Linked DNA regions of Yarrowia lipolytica. The protein of the gene in region 2 interacts with the protein of the main gene of each other region in a pairwise test. Links are inferred from orthologs where the notes say so. Each region holds a gene or a part of one and is shown on either strand. Other genes may lie near its edges.

Region 1 (3,431 bases), on a different chromosome or scaffold from region 2:
CACTACTTCGGAGCAGTCTTCTACTGCCACCCCTACCGGTGACGTTTCGTCTGCCACCCCTACCGGTGACGCTTCGTCTTCCATCCCTACTGGTGATGTCTCATCTGCCACTCCTACCGGCGATGTCTCGTCTTCCACTCCTACTGGTGACGCTTCGTCTTCCATCCCTACTGGTGACGTTTCTTCTGCCACTCCTACTGGTGACGTTTCTTCTGCCACCCCTACTGGTGACGTTTCTTCTGTCACTCCTACCGGCGATGTTTCTTCTGCCATCCCCACCGGTGAAGAGACCGTTTCCACTTCCGGTGTTGTTCCCATTTCTTCTGGTCAAGAGTCTGCTTCAACATCTACAGATTCTAACTCTGCTACCGTTTCCTCTTCTGGCCAGGAGTCTGCCACTGGTTCCACGTCCGGTGCTGTTCCTACATTTGGTGAGCAGTCGGGCATCACGTCTGGATCTACCCCTACATTCACTGGTGACAATGGTTCTACTGCCACTGTCCCCATCTCGACAGAAGGCTCTGGAATCAACTCTGGAGAACTGGACTCTGCCACCCTTGAGGTCCCCACTGCTACATCTGCAACTGGTACTGTTTCCGTTGAATCTCAGATCACATCTTCTTCTGGAGGTGGTGGAGGTCTTGCCTCTGAAGACATTCCTGGATCCGCTACTGCTACTGGCACCGCTACTGTTACTGGCCTGGTTCCTGATGTTACTGGCTCGGCAACTGCCACAGGTTTGGCTTCTGAGGATCTTTCCGGCACTATCAGCCCACTTCCTACTACCACCAACTTGTCAGGCGCCTCTCAGCCTCTCACTACCATGTCTACTTCTACACTTGGTGGCGGTGGTGCTATTGATGGTGGTTCGAACGGATCTGGCTCTGGTTCAGGCTCTGAGGGCTCCGGCTCTAGTTCAGGCTCTGAGGGCTCCGGCTCTGGTTCAGGTTCTGAGGGCTCCGGCTCTGGCTCTGGCTCTGGTTCAGGTTCTGAGGGCTCCGGCTCTGGTTCTGGCTCAGGTTCAGGTTCAGGTTCTGAGGGCTCCGGCTCCGGCTCTGGCTCTGGCTCTGGCTCTGAGGGCTCCGGCTCTGGCTCTGGCTCTGGTTCAGGTTCTGAGGGCTCCGGCTCTGGCTCTGGCTCTGGTTCAGGTTCTGAGGGCTCCGGCTCTGGCTCTGGCTCTGGTTCAGGTTCTGAGGGCTCCGGCTCTGGCTCTGGCTCTGAGGGCTCCGGCTCTGGCTCTGGCTCTGAGGGCTCCGGCTCTGGCTCCGGCTCTGAAGGTGAAGCACCTCCCCAGTCGCCTGGTGGTGAGACCCTGCCTCCCCAGGCCAACTCTGCGAAGACTTATGGTGTCTCTGCTGGTATGATGGGCATGGTTATTTTGGTTGTTCTTTTCTAAGCTAGTTAGCTAGCTATTGGTTTCTACCTCTTAAAATTGTCAATTGTTAATGAATTCTTTGTATAAAAAATCTTGTTCCTTTTATTATTATATTTATATGTACATTTATTGTACAAGTATTACTGTACTTGTAGTTGTAGTCTCCAATAAGTACAATGCCTTGCTTGATAGTTTATTGAGCTCGGTCGTAAAGACGAGTAGGGCTATGCAAGATTAAGAAGTGTACTGAACTCTATGTATTTTGAAATTCTGGGTCTCGAGGTTCTAGAAGCCCGGTACGTCAGGGACCCTCGCCTGTCTGGAGGATGGCCAAAAACACGATTTATATATTTGCTGCTCTGTTTGTGTTTCTTGGTTTTATTGCCGGTCACGTGTTATGGAAATTCACGCAGATTTTTATACACCATCAGAGTGGCTGTGCTAAAATTATTAGGCTACAGTGTACATATAATAACCCATCTCTCGGCCACTTGTACTCTTGCACTCCCACCCTTTCCACGCTACACAGCACACGCTAGCGTTTTTTTACATCACTTTTACGATGGCGGCAGTTATCAACCGAAGTGTGACTTCGCTCCACAACGAGCTGGAGTTTCTGTTTGAGTCCGAGGTGATTTCCCAGGCTCTTTATGACGATATTTGCAACAAGATCCCTCGAAAGCTGACACCTGGTCAGAAGCTGGACTTGCCTGGTTCTCAAGTTGTTGGCATTGCCGAGGTGACTGAGCGGGTTGCAGCTGTTCAAATCACCCCTGCTGCCCCCTCCCCTCCCGTTGCTGTTCATCCTGCCTCTGCTGGTTCAGGTGGCAAGGTGGAGGCTCTCTATGACTACGTCGCACAGGACCCCACCGACCTGGCTCTTGTCAAGGGCGACCAGATTGACATCATCGAGAAGCTGAACAACGACTGGTGGAAGGGCCGAGGCCCCAGTGGCAAGGAGGGAATCTTCCCTGCCAACTACGTCAAGGAACTGTCTGATACTCCCTACATGGCTCCTCCTCCCGTGAGCCGATCCCAGAGCACTGTATCGTCTGTGGCTGCGGCAAGCTCCACCACCACTCTTCCCACGGTGTCCTCTTTGGCCGTGAACGAGGAGAAGTCCGAGAAGTCGGCCTACCCTTCTTACAAGCAGCCGGACTACGCCGCTCCCGCCGCCCATTACAACCCTCCTCCTCCCACACAGTACAACCCCCCTCCCCCAGAGCAGTATGGCTACCAGGCCCCACCTCCCCCGGGATACCAGGGAGGGTACCAACCTCCTCCTCCCCAAGGCTACCAGGGCCAGCAGCAGCAGCAATACTACCAGCCCCCTCCTCCGCAGACTGTGGTTGTGGAGCAGGGCCAGCAGCATCAGGGTGGCGGAGGCCATCTCAAGAGCATTGGTTCAAAGTTTGGAAACGCAGCCATCTTTGGTGCTGGAGCTACCCTTGGTGGAGACCTCATCAATTCTATCTTTTAATCACGAAGTAACGTCATAGAGAATATATTTATTGCCTAGTCTGTTGACAGACCATTGCCAGGCTCTTAAAGTGAGCTAATTAACCATCTGGGACTCCATTCTCAATCAGAGGGAGGTTACAGACCTGCATCGATCAGGCATGAGCGAGACGTGCGGAACATGGAGATCTGAACCCTCCCGAGCTTCCTAAGTTTGGCTCGTTCTTGTGGGTCCAATCTTGAGGTAAATCGTGGGCTGTGCGACTACTTGAACTCGTACTGTACTTGTACGAAACGCGTTCGTAGGTGGAGTTGACTGACTGTTGTCATAGGAACATGGTCATGGCGTCTACTTGTACCATTGTTTGTTATTGTGTTGTATGGTCTAGTCTGTTGCTGCCTGCACACTCTTTTGATTTGGCCCCCACGCCGTCACGTCACTGTGCATAGATATACGAAGGAGTGTATTTGAGAGTCCAGAAAATGCGAAAAAGAAAAGCTGATTGATAATTCCTCGGAACTTCGCTTGGAGAAAGAGAATCCCCAATTTGAAAGCTTTACCAAGCAACTAAAGAGTGTTTGGAGCGCTGAATGGGCT
Region 2 (4,732 bases):
TAAGAGATAGCAAACAGTTGACCCATCTGTTCAGAATCTTGCCCTGATTCCTTTTATACCATTATCGCACCCTCTCACCACACAAAATTCCCACCTATAGGTGCATTTGTCAATGGAAACAGAAGGAACGTACAACCAAGGAGAGACGCTTTCCAGATAAAAATAACATATCAATGTGTTCAGAATCGCCTCCTGATTCCATTGGTGTCATTAATTCAACGTTTTGTGGTACAAAAGCTCCCGCTATGACCCGAATTCATGTTGGCCTGGGACATGAAGGGTCATCAAGAAGTACAGCACCTTACTTGTCTGAAACTGCTGAACGTGACCCTGGATGCCTCCAGCCATGGCCTATTCTACTCTACACAGATCCATCTGATAACAGTAACCTCCTAAAACAGTAACATTCATTACTAACACAATTTTTACATTCTTCCTTATTGGACCGCTGGCACGAAAAACCTACGGGCAGCGGCGGCTCGTCACGCTCGCAGATGAGCTGCTTACAACAGCTTGGTAACTCGACCAATGGCGATACTCTGACCCTGGTCTCGCAGAGTGAACCGACCCAGCTGGGGAGTCTTGCTAAACTCGTCCATACAGACGGGGTTCTGGGTCTCGAGCCGGGCAATGATCTTCATGCCCTTCTTGGCAAAAGCCGGGGGCTTCTTGGACTTTCGGTTGGTACCCTTCTCCAGCTTGTGCAGCAGAGCAGTAAAGGTGACCTCCTCAGCAGCGGTATGGATGTGCATCACACAAGAGAAACCGGTCGACAGAATCGATTTGAGCTCGGTGATGGCAATCTGGGCCTCAAAGACGGTGACGGCAGCAACGGGTTGGGCGGCAGAACAGAGAACCTGTCCAATCTGAACCTCCTCCTCTTCAATGCCCTTGACCTTGAGTCGGATCTGCTCTCCAACAGACGCGCCGCCAACCTCCTGCTCGGTCTCCTTGTAAAGGGTGGTGACCTCGACGGGGACCTTAGAGGGCATGACGACCAGGTTGTCGCCCTTCTTGACGGTGCCAACCTCGATCTTACCCTCCACAATGGTACCCAGGTTCTTCTCCTTGTTGGAAATGGGGAGCATGAAGGGGCCGGTGAGGTTCCGCTCGAGCTCAAACGAGTCAAGCAGCTCCAGCAGAGAGGGGCCGTCGTACCAGGGGCACACCTCCTTGGAGACTCGCTCCTTGACGTTAGCGCCGGTGAAACCGGACACGGGCATAAAGGTGATCTCCGTCTTGTCCGAGTAGCCCAGACCCTTGAGGTAGAGCTTCAGCTTGCTGATACACTCGTCGTATCGCTCCTTGGACCAGTTGACGGTCGAGTCGTCCATCTTGTTAATGGCAATCACCAGCTTGTTGATACCCTGGGTCTTGGCCAGCATGGCGTGCTCTCGGGTCTGACCGTCTCGCTCGAAGCCGGTCTCGTACTCTCCCTTTCGGGCAGAGATGACGAGAATACCGGCATCGGCCTGAGCGGCTCCTCCAATCATGGAGGGCACGTACATCTTGTGGCCGGGGGCGTCGAGCAGAGTGTATCGTCGCTTGTCGGTCTCAAAGTACGACCGGCCCACCTCGACGGTCTTTCCCTCGGCTCGCTCCTCCTTGTTGATGTCCATAACCCAAGACAGGTACCAGCCGGGTCGTCCGGCGTCGGCAGCCTCCTTCTCCATCTTCTCAATAGTTCGCTTGTTGACGGTGCCGGTGAGGTAGAGGATCTGGCCTCCCAGAGTGGATTTGCCGACATCGACGTGGCCCATGAAAATGATGGACATGTGGTCCTTGGTCTCGCCAAACATTTCCTTGATGGTTTCCTGGTCGATCTCGGCGTTCTGGGCGGCGATCAGGGCGTCAGCAGAGGCAGCGTTGGCGGCAGAGTCGTCCTTAGCGGGAGTGGACTCCTTCTTCTCAGGGGCCGGAGTAGACTCCTTAGAGGCAGGAGCGGGGGTAGCCTCCTTCTTCTCGGCAACAGGAGTGGACTCCTTCTTCTCGGCAGCAGGGGCAGGGGACTCTTCCTTCTTGTCCTTGTCTCCGCCAATCTTGAGAACTCCTCCGGTCTTCTTCTCGGCGGGCTTGTCTCCTCCAATCTTGAGAGCGCCGCCCGAAGTCTTGGGCTTGTCTCCTCCAATCTTGAGGGCTCCTCCGGAAGACTTGGGTTTGTCGCCTCCAATCTTGAGGGCTCCGCCAGACTTGGCAGCGGGCTTCTTGAGCTTGTTGAGAGCCTCCTGTTTCTGCTTCTGGTACTCCTCCAGCGTGAGAGTCTTCTCCTGGGGCTCCTCAGGCTGGTCATAGCCCCCTCCGTACTGGTTGTCGTAGCCGCCGTAGTTGCCGTACTGATTGTCGTACTGGTTGTAGTTGTTGTAGCCACCCTGGTATCCTCCTCGGTAGCCGCCCCGACCTCGACCGGAATAGCCGCCTCGGCCCTGGTAGCCCTGGTAGCCCTGGTTGTAGTTGTTGCCCTGGTAGCCACCCTGGTAGCCGCCCTGGTAGCCGCCCTGCTGGCCGCCGTACTGGTCGTAGCCGCCCTGGGGAGCAAAAGACTGGCCGGGAACAAACGCCTGGCCGGGCACAAACGACTGACCGGGCACAAACTGCTGAGGAGCGTAGCCCTGGCCCTGGCCCTGACCCTGGCCCTGGCCCTCGTTGATGTTGGCCTTGTTGGCAAAGTCCTGGTTGAATTGATCACTCATTGTGTGTGTCGTGGTGAGTGTTGCGTGGTGATTCTCAAAATTATGCTGGGTGGTTTTTCAAAGTGCAAACCTTAACTCAGGGTGAAAATTTTAACCCTAGCCCTGGGGAGTGTGGGGGAGAAGATGGAGGTAGGTGGAGGGTCGATGGGGAAGCGGACGCGGTTTGTTTTTTTGGGTCGGGTCCGTTGACACGTGACAATTGACACGGTGTGACATTCGTGGTGTCCTTTTGGGTGCATTACGTAAGTAACTGCCGTGTGTACTGTGCTGTGCTGTGCTGTGCTGTAGCTGTGCTACCTGGACACACTGATTTGGTGTGTTTTCAAAGGGAGATATATGTTGGTTTTGAGTGAGGAACCAGGGTGAAGATGGGCGAGAATTGTATGACAAATTCAGTTCTGTTTTGCGATTTGTTGTGGGATTTTTACAGGAAAAGTCGGGAAGATGTTTTGTTTTGAATGATGATGGCGATGAGTCAGCGATTTGTGGGCTTTTGAGAAATGATAGGGGACTGGCAAGTTGAATAAATGAGTAATTTTAGTATAGGGATTCGAGTTATTGTTCCAGATTTGTCAAGGGTCATCCACAGGAGAAGCTAGGGTGGTTTTGTAGTCATTTTTGAGGAGGGTTGGATTTGGGGTGATTTGGAGTGATTTGAGAGATTCTATGGAATAAAAAGATAGCAGTTGAGAGAATGAGGCCCTGAGACTCGAATGGTACTGTTTGGATACTCTCTGGGTATCTCTGGTGGGTGATAGAGACATGTATGTTGTTTATCCCTCTGAGTATTGTAATGGAACTCATTTACATACCCCAAGGGGGATTATGAGAGCTGGTATTGTGAGTGAATGACGAAGTAAGAATCGATTCAAGGTCTCGGTTTCAATATAGATTGGATTTTGAGCGAGCTGGGGAAGATGTGGTCTGATTTCTGTACTGGGGTGAATTTTTGGCAACTTATAATTTATGACAGAGAAAAGCTGGAGGGTTGGGGAGTTGAAAGATAGATCAAATGACTGACGGGGAATTGATTGGAAGTTTCTGAATTCCCATATCTTTTCCGGTTAAAAAGATGGACATTTCATATTATTGTCTACGTTCCATGTTTTACAGAAATGAGGAGTGGGATCACGTGAACGATAGGGGAGTGAGCACTCGTGAATAAGAAGTGAATTTAGATCATAGATGTAACACATTTGCACATATGGGTGTAGTAATTGTGCAGTTGGATTGGATCTTGTGCATTGTGATTGTTTAGTTGGGCATTTGTTAGACCTTGTTCAAACTTTGTTGAATTGTAAAGTAATATATTCTGAAAGGATCAGTGGAGATATCACTGAAGAAATTATATAATATGGCTTGAAAGTGAAGGGGATAGCCTGGACCATAAGAAATATGTGCAACCAATAACTACTATCCTGTTTTATATGATCTGAATCAGACAACGCGGGGACTTCCTGTTAGTTTTTAGTTGGGGAATACTTACGTGAAGTGGAAGGGAGTTGGGTACAATTTTTTCACCCAAGTAATGGCAGAAACAGCTTGAAAGGTTTTATTTCAGATATCTATCAACTCGGTGACTTTATATATCTATTAAATCCCGACTTTTCGATACATGAACCTCGCCTGATCCACAGTAGTAGGCTGAAACGCATAAGATGGAGTTCAGAGTACACCCATCACTTTTGCCAGGGTTTTAATGGATCCGATTTGGCCTAAACTTGCAATTACTCCAGAATATGGACCGTGGGAGACCCTCATTGTACGGAAACCATGTCCTGGACCTCTACTCCTCCAGTTCGGAATGATTCACGTCCAGCTCAGGCCGAGACTTGTCGATATTAACGAGTAGAGTGAAATTATCAATTCTCACTATTCTCTTGAGTCCACCTTTGCTGATACAATGCCATTACTTGTTCCCCATCCTCTGGTACTACTGGTTCTACTGGTATTGCTGTATTGTTGGTTCCGGAGTAGGAATACCCTTGGTAGAAGGGTCAGAGAACTGAATTGTGGACAATCCACAAACCAGCCTCTGATAT
Region 3 (3,671 bases), on a different chromosome or scaffold from region 2:
CCCCTAACAAAAATATAACCAAAAAAATTACAGCACCCAGGATTCTCGTATGGTCTCCCACTACAATACTAACTAGACTCTCTGGTGCTTGACTATGGCTGATCGGACGGGAAGCCGTATTTTCACCAGGATATGGCCGTAACTAGGACTCCGATACGGGGAATCGAACCCCGGTCTCCACGGTGCTCTGAATGAGAGCGTGATGTGATAGCCCCTACACTATATCGGAATATAAAAAAACTGTAATTTTTTATCCTACTTAGTGACATTAGCTTATGTAACCAACCGACAGCGCCCCGCAGCGCACATCGCAAAGATCCAGAAGTGTATGATTTATTGAACGCCAATAACCCGGCTTACTAGGTATATTGCTGTAATGAATTATTAGAAAGAAAAAAAAGTATTTCTTTAGAATATAACAAAAGAAAACTGAAAGAAGCCAAATAATAAATAAACAAGATGAAAGAAGAAAAAAAAAGCGAGAATTGTGAGCCCAAGTGAATCATCTCCACTGCTGTTTCCAAGATATATTTTTATTTGATTCAAAGTCAATCAATTAATGTACAAAATGCAATGTTACTCGGGCTCGACGTATTCGTAAGCCTGCCAGTTTTCGTCATCCTCCTCAACAATGCCTACCATTGCCAGTTGAGCTCTTCTCTCCAACTCTTCCTCAGTGATACCCTCGAAGAGTCTGCCGTAGCAGTCTCCTCCATCACCATCCTTGTCTCTCCAGTGGGCGTATGGGTCTTCCGAGCTCACTGAAGTGCCGCAAAGATAGCAGAACGCAGCCAAGCAATGTGCACACTTTATCTTGTTGCATCCATCGGCTTTTTCAATAGGCACATTGCATTGTGGACATGCAATTATGTTTGCCTCCTTCATCGCATCCTTGAAAAGTTTCTCGTCCTCCTCCATATGTTCCAATCGTCTGACATGAGTCTCAATGTTTGCCTTTCCCCATGTGAACTCGATATCCTTCTTTTCGTCTTCGTCAGCTTCGTCGATGTAGTGCTTGATGAGCGAATCTGGGGGAACGTGAATCACACAGCCTCTGTAAGTGCCATGCCATGCCTTTCTGCAGTTGACGCAAAAGGCGTACTTGCACCGGGAGCACCGAGCCATGTACTCGCCTGGTTTTCGATACACGAGTGTATCACAGTTAGTTCGAGGACAGGTAACTGAGTTTGGGTCCTTTTCTAGTCTTCTTTTGTGCACCAGTTTCTGGTATCGTTCGTAGCTCTCCTTTCCCACAATGTCCGACAGCTGTTCCGGGCTCAGAGGATCCTTGCACTCCACCTCCACACAGTGTACCATCTCGATATATCCCTGGGTAATGCAAGTGGAATAGTAGTCGGCGAGGCACGCTGTGCATGAGACGTGGGCACACGCGAGTTGTGTGCAAACGGCTCCCTTGCGAGTCTCCTGGCAGATGCTACAGGTGAAAGTCATTGTGGCAAAATGTTCCTTGTCCGCGCAGACGTCATAGTTGAGAACGTTCGACTTCAAGTTGGCGGCAAACTTGAGCGGTTGCGCTTCTCCAAAGACGGTCTCCACCTGCTCCTTGATCAGATCAACGCAAGCAAACAGGGTGGACTCGTCCTTGACCTGTTCCCACTGGTGTATTAGGTCCGTTGTCAGCTTGGCGATCTGTCCGTCAGTCATCCACAGCGACTGGAGATCGAACTGGGGCGGTTTTGTTTCCGGGTAGCCCTCTGGTAGTGCAAAAAACAGGAGCACTGGCGGCAGGTTCCTGATCTCATGTTGCGTGTCTGCATCGCCAAAAACCACCTTCACAGGCTCTTCGAAAGACGCCGTGATCTCCAGAGACCCACTCAGAGTGTCAGTGTCATACTCCAGCTCGGGGTAGATGGCGGCGAGCGTCTCCAGCTCTTCCATGGTGGCGAATGGACGAAATGATAGAGGAGTTGGGAGTGCAGGAAAGACGTGGAATGAGAGTTTGAAATTTAGACAATCGCTCCATATCATGCACCACTTCAATCAGCCGCATGAGAAGATGGAGAGCAAAAGTGCCACGAAACATGGATAGAATGAAGGGAAAAGGATGTACATCTTCTTGAATTGGTCTGATTGCGTCCTTGTTTCCATCTTTTGATTCAGTAAAACAGCTGTATCTATTTCTCTTACTTCTTGAAGTCCTCATGTTTGTTGAAAGTCTAATTAGATTTGTTGGGTTTCCTCAATAAACTTGACCATGACCAACTAATTTGGTAACTGCCGTTATTGAGCACAACAATGACAATGGAAGTCGACGGGCATGCCGTTCATTACGACCAGCTACGTGTGCTGTACTTTGTTCCTGTACAGTATGTTTGTATGTAATGATTGTATTTTATAATGGTTTTGTTACAGACGGCCCAGGAGCTCTCGCAAGCTTTCGAGCACGCCAAATGCACATTTCTATAGGCTGTTTTGTCGATGGTAAGCAGGGGGCCGAGGGGGGAGCTGAGGATGAGCCGGTTTTGAAGACGAAGATGGCTTGAAAGCTCCTGGCACTCCTGGCACTCCTGCGGGTTTTGATGAGGCGGCAGCGGCGGCAGCGGCATGGGCCTGCTTCGAAGGACCGTCTCCCATCAGATCGCTATCGTTAAACGTCCATGCAACCTCCCGTTCACTCCAGGGCATGAACTGCGACGGGTGTGGTGGGGGATCGGAGATTTTTGTGATGAGGTAGGCGGCTGAAGCTTCAGCAACTCCGTAGGTGAGCAGTCCAACGTATGGAATTCGCAGCAGCAGGAAGAAGCCAGCTCCGAATCCGAAAATGACTCCCTCACGAGCAGCAAGCCAGTGTTGTCGGTCGGTGGTGGTAAAGGGGATTCTCTTAAAGTAAGGGATAAGCAGTTCTCGCACCAACGATCGAGAGCCCCAGAAGGCCGACAGGAAGACAAGCAGCCACTTTTTGGGCACCATGAGACCCAGACCAAACACTGCTGCAGCTGCAGGAGTTCCAACCACCTGGTTGAAAGAGTAAAAGGAGGCAGAATTGATGGACAGAGAACCAAGCACAGGCACGTCCTTGATGAGGTACATGGCGAGAGTGAAGGCTGTTCTGGTAGCCATTCTGCTGAGGAAAGAAGAGAAGTCGTTTCCTGAGGACGACTTTCCGGACATGAACGACCACCATGGTCGGCCGCCCTTGCCTGTTCCATAGGCTCTAGCTTGTTCCTTGTATGTCACCAGAGGCATGTAGTACTGGGGAGGGTTCTTGAGTTCAGGGTGTTTCTTGGCGTAGGTCTGGTCTGCGTGTTGCAGAGATCGCAGGAAGATCTCGTCGATTTCGGGACGGAAGTATCGCATTCCTGCAATCACGAACGGTCCCAGGTTGAGCACGTGGTTTTGGATGAACCGCAGAGACCCCAGTGCGTCGTTGATGGTGAACCGGGCGTCTTGACCAGTAAATGCCAGTTTGGAAAGATGCAAGAACCACTTGAGCACGAGAATCGGCGACCATATCAACAGCTGGATTCCCAGCGAGTATCCCAGCATCTTCAGTGCCTTTCTGTAGTGTTCTGTTCGGAAGATATCGGGGTTCTGTAACGATCGGTACGCACCCACAAAAAACAGCTGGAAACCTCGCACAATCGCCAATGGCGAGAAATTGGGCGGTGGACGGGACAGAAAAATTGGCGACGGCATGTTTGTGTGGACCT

Evidence for each region. The genes of interacting proteins can lie anywhere in the genome.
Region 1: the proteins of YALI1_B11083g (region 2) and YALI1_C05423g interact in a two-hybrid assay, tested with the Saccharomyces cerevisiae proteins (2 studies listed by BioGRID). The link is inferred for Yarrowia lipolytica from reciprocal best matches to the Saccharomyces cerevisiae genes SUP35 and LSB1.
Region 3: the proteins of YALI1_B11083g (region 2) and YALI1_C28879g interact in binary tests that used the Saccharomyces cerevisiae proteins (3 or more experiments, as listed by UniProt). The link is inferred for Yarrowia lipolytica from reciprocal best matches to the Saccharomyces cerevisiae genes SUP35 and ITT1.

The regions. Positions count from the first base shown.
Region 1 is NC_090772.1:540,895-544,325, reverse strand, and holds YALI1_C05423g (uncharacterized protein), read left to right. Parts: upstream 1-1,937; coding exon 1,938-2,855; downstream 2,856-3,431. Other genes in the region: YALI1_C05494g (uncharacterized protein), read left to right, coding at 1-1,396. UniProt on the Saccharomyces cerevisiae protein: Involved in resistance to EDTA.
Region 2 is NC_090771.1:1,106,336-1,111,067, reverse strand, and holds YALI1_B11083g (uncharacterized protein), read right to left. Parts: upstream 2,691-4,732; coding exon 504-2,690; downstream 1-503. UniProt on the Saccharomyces cerevisiae protein: GTPase component of the eRF1-eRF3-GTP ternary complex, a ternary complex that mediates translation termination in response to the termination codons UAA, UAG and UGA.
Region 3 is NC_090772.1:2,885,918-2,889,588, forward strand, and holds YALI1_C28879g (uncharacterized protein), read right to left. Parts: upstream 1,990-3,671; coding exon 577-1,989; downstream 1-576. Other genes in the region: YALI1_C28895g (uncharacterized protein), read right to left, coding at 2,422-3,657. UniProt on the Saccharomyces cerevisiae protein: E3 ubiquitin-protein ligase involved in translation quality control. Involved in the rescue of stalled ribosomes by promoting ubiquitination and degradation of proteins on stalled ribosomes.